Linked DNA regions of Oryzias latipes. The protein of the gene in region 3 purifies or fractionates together with the protein of the main gene of each other region. This does not show direct contact. Links are inferred from orthologs where the notes say so. Each region holds a gene or a part of one and is shown on either strand. Other genes may lie near its edges. The genes, in order: golga5, klhl36 and slc6a15.

Region 1 (4,428 bases), on a different chromosome or scaffold from region 3:
TTATCAGAAAGTGAAGCTCTTGTAAGCAGTTCTCCCCTCATCCCTCCATCCTGTCTCTATATCAGAGGAGACCTTCCTCACTCAGAAGGACCCTGAGGACTACAGCAGGACTGAGATGCTGTCTGACAAGATTTACGTTGTTCAGGCTTTTTTTTTTTTAACCACTGGTGGAATCTGCTAGCTTCTCCTCGCCGACATTTTGTAAATCCTGAACCTTTATGATCATCTATCCTTGTAGTCCACCCTGAGACTGAACTCGCTCGTGGATTTTTGTAGATGATCCCCGGCTCGTCAGGCAGACATCTGTGGGTTTTTAGCTCTTTGAAATGTGCCGGTTTGAGCAGAACCGTTTCTACGGCTGATCTGGCGATTAAAACGTTGCTCAGTTTCTGTTTTCTCTGCTTGGTTTTTGTTTTTTTTTGTTGTTGGGAGAAACTCCACCTCCTGGACTTCCAGAGCAGATTATACATGTTATCGATTGTGTCCATAGTCGGGTCCTGTATTGATGTGGCATGCCGTGTAAATAAGCATTTTGGAGTGATGCGGGAAAAAATAATAAAAAAGGAGCTGTTTTGTAACTTTTGTGTCTGGTTTTGATTTGGACGAGTCCGTCTACGGATCCGTCTCTCCAAATATCCATTTGAATTGACTTTAAAAGCTGCATTATTTTAAATAATATTTGCCAAGTATTGAAAGAGAAGGCACTTTGTAAACTGAATCCTGAGATTAGTGTGTGAATTTTAATCTGAATCCTTAGATTACAGAATTCTAGTACTCGGATTGTTCCGTGAAAGATTCGACTTGGAGAAAGTTTAATTTTTCTACTGAGGATGAAACTGTTGGAAACTTTCATTTTCACAAACAAGTTCCTCCGTTTCTTACAGATGATTTTAACGCAGAATTATTCCACTCATCATTTTACGTTATGAAACAACAGAACCGTAGCAGACGCATTCATAAATGCTGATACAAAAGAATTTGGTTTAAAAGTTCCTGATTGTTGGACACTTTTTGGATCAGATGTGTTTTTTTTTGTTTGTTTTTACTTAATTCTGTTTAAACTGAAGATGAAGCAGAAAAGTTTAAAGGAAGAATTCTAAAGCAGTGTTTGATGCAGACAATGTGCTGTTGATGGAAAGTATAAGTTTATAGTTAAACAAAATAAAAAAAACATTATCCAGAGCATTTATCCAGTTGGTTAATATTTTGTGAATATTAAAAACAAACTTTTAGTATTATGAGGTGGATTCAGACCACATTTTCTGATTCTAACCAAAGCACCAGAACATTTTCTTCAGACTGGCTTAATAAGACTGACAGGACATAAAAAGTGGATTCCACTTTAAATAGTTATAATTTCTTAGAATATATTTGTTTATTGTCGTATTTTATAGAATAAATTGAGAAAATGTTTTGACTAAACATACTCAAAACGTTAAAATACAACACTTTAGCAAGGACAGTTATGGTGTTGTAAAGGACGTGTTAAATACTATTATTGATTAATATTTTTGTGGTTTTGTTTAAAGGAAAACAATAGTAATACAAACAAATATTTAAAAATGAAATTAAAAGTTCCATTTCTGGTCAGGCTTCTCCGAGGACGCGCTGTTTGAGGTCCTTGATCGTTTCCGGGTCCACGTATTGTGAATGTGGCTAAAATCCTCCCGAATGATGTCTTTAATCAGGTTTTTAGGTCATTCCATGGTTTAGGGGTTAAACTGCAGCGGATTCTCTGTGAGCAAAGACAGATTTACCTGCATCCTTAGGTCTTCGCGGTACGTCCACAGCTTTTCTTTTTTTCTGGAGCCACTAGCTAGTGAGCTAGCTAGCATGTTAGCTTCAGCTGTGACAGAGCTTCTCCCAGACAGACTCGATAGGGTCGCTTTAAGGTCGGGTGTCTTCTGCTACAGTTAACTTTCCCCCCACATTTCGGAGTGAAAGCTGGTGTCGTTTAAGGCAGAACTGCAGCTGTTAGTATCGTAGCTGCAGTGAAACACTGTGGTTGTAGTTCGGAGCTGCTGTGATCCTGTTTGTCTAAATGTTTGAACGGATCGGACAATTCTGACTAATATAAATTTTATTATGCATTTAAAGGATCAAAGAATGCGAGAAAATGGTTTTCAAGCTGCATTTTCTATGTGATCATGTTTTCATCAGACAAAAAAAACATTTTTGTTGTATGAACAAATGAAATATGTTGTCACAGTTTTCCCATAGACGGGAGCTGTTTATCAGGTGAAGGAAAGCTTCACGACAGTTTCATCTTCAAACTTTGCTGCTGTCTTGTGTACTTTGGGAGGCTTCGTGTTTGTATTCGCTTCAGGGCCTCTGTTTGTTTGTGTGCCCTCGTGGTGCGTTTGTGTTCTCCCTGAAGCGTGGTAAAAGTCACGCTCAGGCTGATCTGCGTTTTGGTTGGTTTGTCCTAAAGAGTCTTTGGGTGAATCCTCATCTTCTTTGGACCTGATCCCTCAGTTAAAATGTTGCTCTTTTATGTTGTTATTGTGTGAAACATTTTAAAAAGATAACGATTGTCAACGTGGTTATAGCAGCTAATTTAAATATTAGTGTGACATGTTTGTACATTTAAATCTTAAAAGACACCAGCTTTTCATCACCGCTTTTCTTTCATCTTCGGCAGGTTCTTTTTTTCTTCTTTCAGACCTTATGGGGAGTGGGGAAAGCTCACGGGATGAACTGGGATTAGGGGATTGGGATCAATTTTAATCGGTAATTACATTTTGGGGTTTGTCCCATCTGAACTCTCTGATTCTTCCCTCAGGGAGCAAGATGTCCTGGCTCACAGACCTGGCAGGAAAGGCAGAACACTTCCTGAATCAAGTGGACCAGGGAGCTGCGACTGCTCTGAGCAAGAACCAGGCCAGAACCTCTTCTTTTTCATCGTCCTACGAACAGGAATCCAATGTCAGGAATGAGTTTGTTTCCACGGCCGCGGTGGAAGCTGACGCACCGTCACCCTGTCATGATGCGCCGAGCTTCATCGCTGCTGCAGCGGGAAACATCAAGAGATCTAGTGCAACCCTGCTGGCTGGGACCGCCAACATTCCCAGTAACGCAGCCAGTGCTGGCAGCGGCGCCGCCAACTCCATCAAGAGCTCGTCCAGCTTTGTGAGACCCAAAAAGAGCGAGCAGGACGTGAACGACGACATGCTCTTCAACTTCCTGAACAGCTCGGATCCTCCGGAAATCAGCCGACGGGATTCGAGGAAGGATCTGGCAAAAGTGGCGGCTCCGATCCCAGAGCTGCAGAACCCAACCCCGACTCCGCCTCCCGCCTGTGTCCAGGCCACGCTGTCGGCCCCGCCCACGCCCCCCTCCACCCGCGGCGTCTCCAGGACCTCCAGCATGAGCTCTCTGTCCGCTCACAGCAACCGAACGTCAGAGGAACCAACCCAAGGTCAGTGAGGAAGAAAACGAAGCTCAGCATGTACAGAAAAACATGAAGCTTGCTGAAAGCTGAACTGCTTTGAAAAGCTAAAATATTTAGATTTATGTTTCCTTTAAATGCTTATTCTAATTTCAGTTTTGTTGAGTGATTTAAAAAAGCAGCTTTCATGAATTTCTGCACACTGAAGCTTTGCACATTCCGGGGAGCGATGCGTTTCTGGAGGCAGCTTGAAGGACTCAGAACTGCTCCTTGATGCGTTCAAAGTCCAGTTTCATAAACTGTAACTTTCTGCCTGTTTGTGTCTTAAATCTTTCTATTATTTTGAATTCCCCAAACAGCCACATTTACCTGCACAATGTGTTAAAATTCTCATTTTTTCACTCTCCCTGAAGACACACCTGACAGTTCAGACTCCAGCTTGGCTGTTCTTCAGGATTCCAGTAAACAGGGGACCCCCCCTCCTCCCCCCACGGAGGAGCCCGCCAGCCAGGTCCTGTCCAGCCTGCGCCTGGAGAACCAGCTGCTGCGCAGCGAGGTGGCGTCCCTCAACCAGGAGATGGCGTCGGTCATTCAGAGAGCCAAAGACCTGCAAGAGGGTGAAGGAAAAGAGCCGTCAGCGACGGGCGGTCAGCCCTCGCCGCTCTCTCAGCTGATCCCTTCTGTCCTCCATGCTGTCCTCAGAGCTGAACCAGGCCCGTCTGCGGGCGGACCGGTGGAACTCGGAGCAGGCCCAGAAGGACCGCGCGTTTCGAGATCTTCGCTCGCAGGTCGATGACCTCAGTGAAGCTTTGTCCGCCAAAGACGGTCAGCTGGCGGTCTTGAAGGTCAGACTGGATGAAGCTGATCAGCTTCTGAAATCCCGCAACGCTGCGTTGGAGGAGGCTCAGAGAGAGACGTCCAGGTACCCTGCTGCCGTTAACCCCAGAGAAAGACTTTCAGCGTGTGTCTCAGATCTTCTGTCCCGTCTAGAATCATGCAGGACCACACAGAGGGCAGCAGCATGAACTCGCAGGCGCTGG
Region 2 (3,651 bases), about 26 Mb from region 3:
GACAGTTAGCGTGGAAAACATAGCTGCTCAAGTTAATGCCTAAGTTTGCATTTAAATCATTGTTATAAATATTGACTGTAATAACTTTTTAAATAGCGTAAGGTGTGAAATAAAAAATGGTGATATTTAGGTGTACTTTTGAAGTGTTATTCCTGGTGTAAATGCATGAAATGCTGCATAGTGTTCAGAACCAATCTGGGGAAAAATGCATTTAACGTCGATAATGTTTAGAGGACTTTATTGTTAACCTTCCCCTCTAGCAAACGTTGGTCATTTTAATATTAATACATGCAATTGTGTTTTTAAAAGTGAACTTTTGTCTACTGTTGAACCTTTCGCTGCGCAAAGACTTCCTTCTTTTCTCTCGTCTTTCCGACCGACAGTGGTCAGAAGCGCAGGGGAGATTTCCTTCAGGGCTGAAGGGAATTCTCCTTCGGGGTTCACTTCCCGTTGGAAACCCTCAACCTCCAGAGCGGAATAAGAATGACTCCAAAACAGTTATTCTGGGAATGACACCTTCTCCGTCCTCCTCATCCGTGCTCACCCCACCCCCCCCCCCCCCATCTGCACCTGCAATCGCCCCTCCCCTTGTCTCTCGTGGATTGCACCCCGCTCAGCACACACACGCTGCAACACTACCCCTGTATTGATCAAGTGGTATAGGTTTATATGGGATTAAGAAAGTAAGCAGTGCTAGAAAATTGTGTTTCCAAAAAGTAATTGTTACATTAATCTAATTCAATGTCCCTGATTTCATTTTCATGTAGATGCAATCCTGCAGGAATTAAAAGAAACATGGCAGCAGCTAAAAATGAAGTATAAAAACATAATTCAATCAGGTCAAATGTGAGCATGTCATGGATGTAGGCTTTGTTGACAATATTTGACATATGAAACATCTACATAGCAAGACCTAATGTTGTTTTCATTTTGTATATGTAATTGACTGCAACGAAAAACGGTAACGCTTAAACAAAAACGTATGGGGAAATGACAAAACATCGAGTCGAGGTCTCAAAATCCTCGTACGACGTAAATGTAATTCTCTACGAATTAATGCAGCCTCCTCGTCTATTGGGTCCTCCAAAAAAGGACAAGCCATTCTTGTCACTTAGATCGCGTGACGGAAATGTGGGCAATGAAGGTTAAAGCGAGAAATACCGCTTCGTCTTTAAAAAGGGGAGGGGACCGGCAAAAACTTCGAGTTTGGAGAATAAAACCTGCTCCCGACCAGGTTAGGTTCACAGCATAAGTAACCATGGATACTGACTCCGAGTAAAAGTTAACTCTCTTTCAGAAACGGGTTTGACTTACTCTGCTTTCTCTGGTTTGACAAACCTCCGATTCTGAAACGGAAAACCCAGGGTTTCCCTGATTTCCGGGTTTATGAACTCAGAGTTTACACTTAACCTCCTTTGTGAAACAGGCCCCTGTAGAACATAGTAAAAACAGATTGTTCCATTTTTCTTTTAGAGCTGATTTTGGTTATATTTCTATTTCTGATCATCAATTTATTAGTATTGTTACTGTGTTGTTCAAAGTTCCATACTTTTATTTTGAATTTTATTAACAATAATAAGAAACTTGTTATGAAACCTTGACGAATCCGCCGGGAAGTAGAAGAAGAGAGGTCTACTTCATGATGTATCAACAGTCCTAAAGCCCAAAACGCAAAATCTGTTATTGATCTACATGTTGATCAATTCAACACAATATAAAAAATTGTATATACTGTAACAATCCAGCCGGACCGTCACTTTCGTGGGGTGGCTGAAGCCAATTGATAATTAAGATGGCTTTGTTGGAGAGCTGAGCGTGCCCCATACACTGCCCGACCCCGATCAGTCTCAAGTATATATGAAGAGTCAGAGCACTGGAGAATCTCTATGAGCGCAGAGTCTGCTTAATCTAGCACACCCTAACAGCCCACACAGCATGGATTTGACTTCAGTACACAACCCTCTGACTCGAGGTTTCACCCTAAAGCTCCCCACTTCCCATGAGCCTTTGGGGCTGAAGGCAGCGCTAACCCCCGGGTCGCTACAATACATTTTTACTGTTTGTACTTGTTTGTATTTCAAAAAATGTTGTTAAATTGAAAAAACAATGATTCAGATTACAATTGGAGGGTGGTATTAGAAACTACCTTTGAAGTAATATTGCTTCATTAATTTCCAAATATATATATTTTTAATTGAAAATAACAGTTTTTGTTTTATCCCGACTCTTTTCTTGGAAGAAAAAAAAAGTAGCTTTTTTGAGTTTGTTCTTCTTCTTTGCACACATGCGATTGGTGTTTCCAGCTGTTCTTAATGCTATTTTAAAATATTAAAAGTGGACCTTCTGTGTTCTGAACACACAGCCGGTCCGTGGAGACATTATGGATAAACCGGGCCGCTTGTCTCGACTCCACAGGATCAGTGAGACTTCCAAGGTCAGCCTGTCTTTGTTTTCAGTTCACTTTAATGTTTGACCTGGAGACGCATACTTGTGTTGCCTTTAAGTTGTAGATTAATAGACTTGCACAGTTAATTTTTTTCTTCAATATGTGATGTATTTCATATTAAGTGTTCTACTTGCACCAATGTCTCCTACAAACTCCACAGAGTTGAAAGCCAGATTTGTTGCGTCTAAGTTGTGATGTTGTGCCAGCAGATGTTCTCCTCAGTGGGCCAGGCCATGGAGGTGCTGCAGGGCCTCAACGAGCAACGGAAACATAATCAGTTCTGTGACGTGGTGCTGATCGCAGATGACCAGCGAGTTCCTGCGCACAAGGCCCTGCTAGCCGTCTCCAGCGCTTATTTCCACGCGATGTTCACCCTGGGGATGAAGGAGGAGCACCAGCAGGAGGTATTCGGAAAAACACACCGCAATCACCTGCTAGCAAAATCCACTTCATTTGTTGTTTCATAAATCACTTAAACTAGGCTAATCTTGATAAAATAATAGATATATAGCCGGATATATTACAATAAAAGCTAATTATTTATGCATTAAGACTAGAAAATGTGTAGATTGTGTCTTTCTTATTTAGAATTTGCTGAAACCACACACTCTTCATTTGAAACTAAACAACAATTTGATCTTAACATCTGCAGCATCACCAGCGGTTTACTGCACTGTCCTTTAATGGAATCCTGCCAAAGTTTTATCAGTGAAGTGCTTTTAAACATGCAAAGTAGAAAGATTTCATGCACAATGAACTGTGTGCAGGTGGAGCTGGTTGGGATGTCCTACGTGGGCCTGAAAGCGGTGGTGGATTTCCTGTACAGCGGAGAGCTGATGCTCGATGGAAGAAACTTTGACTTTGTGTTGGAAGCTGCTCACCTCCTGCAGGTAAAACCATTGAATTGGAGATCTTTGAATTTCCTCATGTCCTTCCTCTACAGTCATTATACCTTTACTTGCTTCTGTGTGTTTTTAAAATCACAATTACTTTGACACCAGTAATTAATCTACAGGAAGGATTTATCCACCCTTTATGTGAGTACTGTAACTTCTAAAAGACCATTTTGATTGAATAACTTAAGTGCAATAAAATATTGTTGTTTTTTTCTCTCATGTCTGTATATTAAATACACAGTCAGATGTATTATAAGAGTTATTTTCTGAATAAGTTCTCTGGTTACTGGATATTGCATCTATCTATGC
Region 3 (3,123 bases):
GGTCTCGGCTTCGGCGGCGTCATCGCCTTTTCCAGCTACAACAAGCGAGACAACAACTGCCACTTTGACGCCGTCTTGGTGTCGTTCATCAACTTCTTCACCTCCGTGCTGGCCACCTTGGTGGTGTTTGCTGTGCTCGGCTTCAAAGCCAACGTCATGAACAGCAAATGCGTTGCTCTGTGAGTGCGCCGGCAGCAAACGCCCACTTTGACGCCGCCGCTGCGACATAACCCTTTTTGTCTGTTCTTTGAAAAGGAACACCAATAGAATCGTGGCGTTGTTGGGAAACGGCATCGAAGCCACGCTCATCCCCCATCACATAAACCTGACTCAGGTCAGTCAGGTGACGGCGGATGACTACCATCAGATGATCGACATCATCAAGGGCGTGAAGGAGGACGAGTTCCAGAAACTGGGGCTGGAATCCTGCACCATTGAAGATGAGCTGAACAAGGTTCAATAACTGAAGAACAAAAACACTGCGTTCAAAATGGTTATGCAAAGTGTCACGAAGAGCAATTATTGGTTTTGAATTTGTCTTGAGGCTCTTTGGATCATTGATATCAAACTCAGTGGTAATTAAATTGGAACACGGTGTACCAGATATTTTCTGGTTTTACCTCCTCGAGTTCTGGCATGAAGATGAACAATCTCAGATTAGAATCAATAACTTTCCTCTGACTCGTTTCCCCGACAGGCAGTCCAGGGCACGGGCTTGGCCTTTATCGCCTTCACAGAAGCCATGACCCACTTTCCTGCTTCGCCATTCTGGTCCGTCATGTTTTTCCTCATGCTGGTTAACCTCGGACTCGGCAGCATGTTCGGCACCATTGAGGGAATCCTCACTCCTCTGATTGATGCGTTCAAAGTCCGCAAAGAGCTTCTGACAGGTGAGGCGTGCACGTTCCCAGCTGAAGTACAGACTGTTCTGTTCTGAGGCCTGGATTGTGTGGAGAAGATGCCAGAATGTGGTCAACACGAGTCCCCGCTTGTCTCCTGCAGTGGGGTGCTGCGCGCTGGCCTTCTCCATCGGCCTCCTGTTTGTCCAGCGCTCAGGGAACTACTTTGTGACCATGTTTGACGATTACTCCGCCACTCTGCCTCTGCTCATCGTCGTCGTGTTGGAGAACATTGCCGTCGCTTGGGTCTACGGGATTGACAAGTAAGCAAGCGGGCCTGGGCCACAGGTTGGACTCCCAACTTGTAAAAAGTGATGAAGAAACCAAACGTTTCGGCATCCAGGCGCTGTCTTTTGACGCACTCGTCTGTCGGGTTGCAGATTCTTTGAAGACCTGAAGGAGATGCTGGGATTTGCTCCGTACCGTTTCTACTATTACATGTGGAAGTACGTCACGCCCATCCTGCTGCTGGTGCTCCTGTGCGCCAGCTTCATCCAGCTGATCATGACGCCGCCCAGCTACAGCGCCTGGATCCAGGAAGAGGTGAGACCGTCTCAGGCTTAACACCCGTGAGGTCCGGGATCAGCAGGGGGGGCTTCTTGGTAAATGTGCATACGTGTACCATGAAAGATTTATGAAATCTTTAAAAAAAAAAAAAGGCCCCAAAGAAACTTGTCAAAAATTGTGACATTTTTAAAAATAGGATAATAAAAATCTGCCAATGGGGTCAGAAAACGCTCTTAGTGAAAAATCCTGGTAAGGGAAAAATTCTAACCATTTTTTCTGAAAATAAGATTCGTTTGCTTTTAAACAACTTCAGTGATCAGATAATTTTTCTTGCAACACAGAAAAAAAGGCTTTTTTTATGAAACGAGAAACTTTTTACTTTCTTAAGATCCAGTTTTTGTCAGGGGTCGTCAACCTGGGGCTCCAGAGCCACATGGGGCCCTTTTAGCGCTAAAGTTGTGGCTTTGAAGAAAACCACTAACAGTCTGAATAAATAATAACTTTATGAAGTTACTTCATGTATGTTTAGATTTTAAAAAACTACTGAGGTGATCATGTATATATATATTGTAGAGCAGGGGTGTCAAACTCATTTTGGTTCGGGGGCCACATTCAGCCCGTCTGATCTCAAGTGGGCCGGACCAGTCCCGTAAAGGCAAAATAACAGCTTTGTTTGTTTTTTTCACTCAATTTGAAAAAATGCCTCAACCAACATAGTAGCTTAATCCCTTGGGGCTAATGGATCTCAAATAAAATTAATTTCAATAAAAAAAAAAGTTGTTCTATTCAAATTTATACAGACTGAATATTTTACATCTGACACTGAAGCGATCCAGAAACTTTTCTTTATGGTGAGTCTCATAGTGGTGCTGAATGTTGTAGTCTTTGAACACTGCAACCTGTTGCTGACATACCAAGCATGGGGGTTTGCATTCAGCTTCGTGAAAGAAAAAAAAACTGTCCATTTTTCCTGGAAGGCTCTTCACTCCACTTCACTTTTTGACAACATTTTGGTCATTAGGGTGTCACTACTGATCATCCTCATAGCAAGATAACAGCGGTAAGGCTCATAGGGAACTAAAGTGAATCTTACCCAGACGCAGAGCTGTTATGTTTCGCTTTTGGCACGTGCAGAGATAAGCTGTTCACCTGTTTTGCCTTTCCTTTTCTCCCCCGAGTGGCGGAATTGCGCACTTCGGTTATTTCTTTAAAAAATCATAACTCGCCACAGGAATGGACTAGAAACTTGCTTGCTTTTTTAACCATCCTTATGATTTTTACTCTTCATGTGTGGGCCGGACTTAACCACCTAGCGGGCCGGGCTTACTTTGCACCAACAGTCCCGTCCACAACTCAGAGGTGAATTTCTAATGAACTCCTGTTGCTCTGCAGAAACTATGTCCCAGAAGAAGACAAACTGGTTTTTGGATTTTGTTTACAAATAGCATCATCAGAATAAAAAGATTATTTTGAAAATAGATCAAACGATGATCAGAGTGGGACACATATTCTTATCTCTAGTTGCTGTTCCGAGGCAAAGTTCTTAAAGTATAAAAATAAATAATTAGAATTATAATATTTAGAATTCTAATCTGCTGCAGCAGGGAATGATTCCCCCTTAAAAAAAGGGTGTATTTTATTTTGAAAGGAACTTATGTGGTGCTGCTCATTGTAACTATAACGACAGTACATCTTCTAAATCAGGGGTCGGGAACCT

What was found.
Region 1: the proteins of slc6a15 (region 3) and golga5 purify together in Homo sapiens (co-immunoprecipitation; 3 studies listed by BioGRID and IntAct, counting the BioPlex papers as one, with this or other methods). This does not show direct contact. The link is inferred for Oryzias latipes from reciprocal best matches to the Homo sapiens genes SLC6A15 and GOLGA5.
Region 2: the proteins of slc6a15 (region 3) and klhl36 purify together in Homo sapiens (co-immunoprecipitation; 3 studies listed by BioGRID and IntAct, counting the BioPlex papers as one, with this or other methods). This does not show direct contact. The link is inferred for Oryzias latipes from reciprocal best matches to the Homo sapiens genes SLC6A15 and KLHL36.

The regions. Positions count from the first base shown.
Region 1 is NC_019880.2:1,780,484-1,784,911, forward strand, and holds the start of golga5 (golgin subfamily A member 5), read left to right. Parts: upstream 1-1,598; 5' UTR 1,599-1,778; intron 1,779-2,782; 5' UTR 2,783-2,790; coding exon 2,791-3,418; intron 3,419-3,801; coding exon 3,802-4,005; intron 4,006-4,090; coding exon 4,091-4,310; intron 4,311-4,378; coding exon 4,379-4,428. UniProt on the Homo sapiens protein: Involved in maintaining Golgi structure. Stimulates the formation of Golgi stacks and ribbons. Involved in intra-Golgi retrograde transport.
Region 2 is NC_019864.2:27,885,810-27,889,460, reverse strand, and holds part of klhl36 (kelch-like protein 36), read left to right. Parts: intron 1-2,362; 5' UTR 2,363-2,380; coding exon 2,381-2,434; intron 2,435-2,655; coding exon 2,656-2,850; intron 2,851-3,213; coding exon 3,214-3,336; intron 3,337-3,651.
Region 3 is NC_019864.2:2,131,744-2,134,866, forward strand, and holds part of slc6a15 (sodium-dependent neutral amino acid transporter B(0)AT2), read left to right. Parts: coding exon 1-179; intron 180-255; coding exon 256-454; intron 455-697; coding exon 698-890; intron 891-1,002; coding exon 1,003-1,162; intron 1,163-1,279; coding exon 1,280-1,442; intron 1,443-3,123.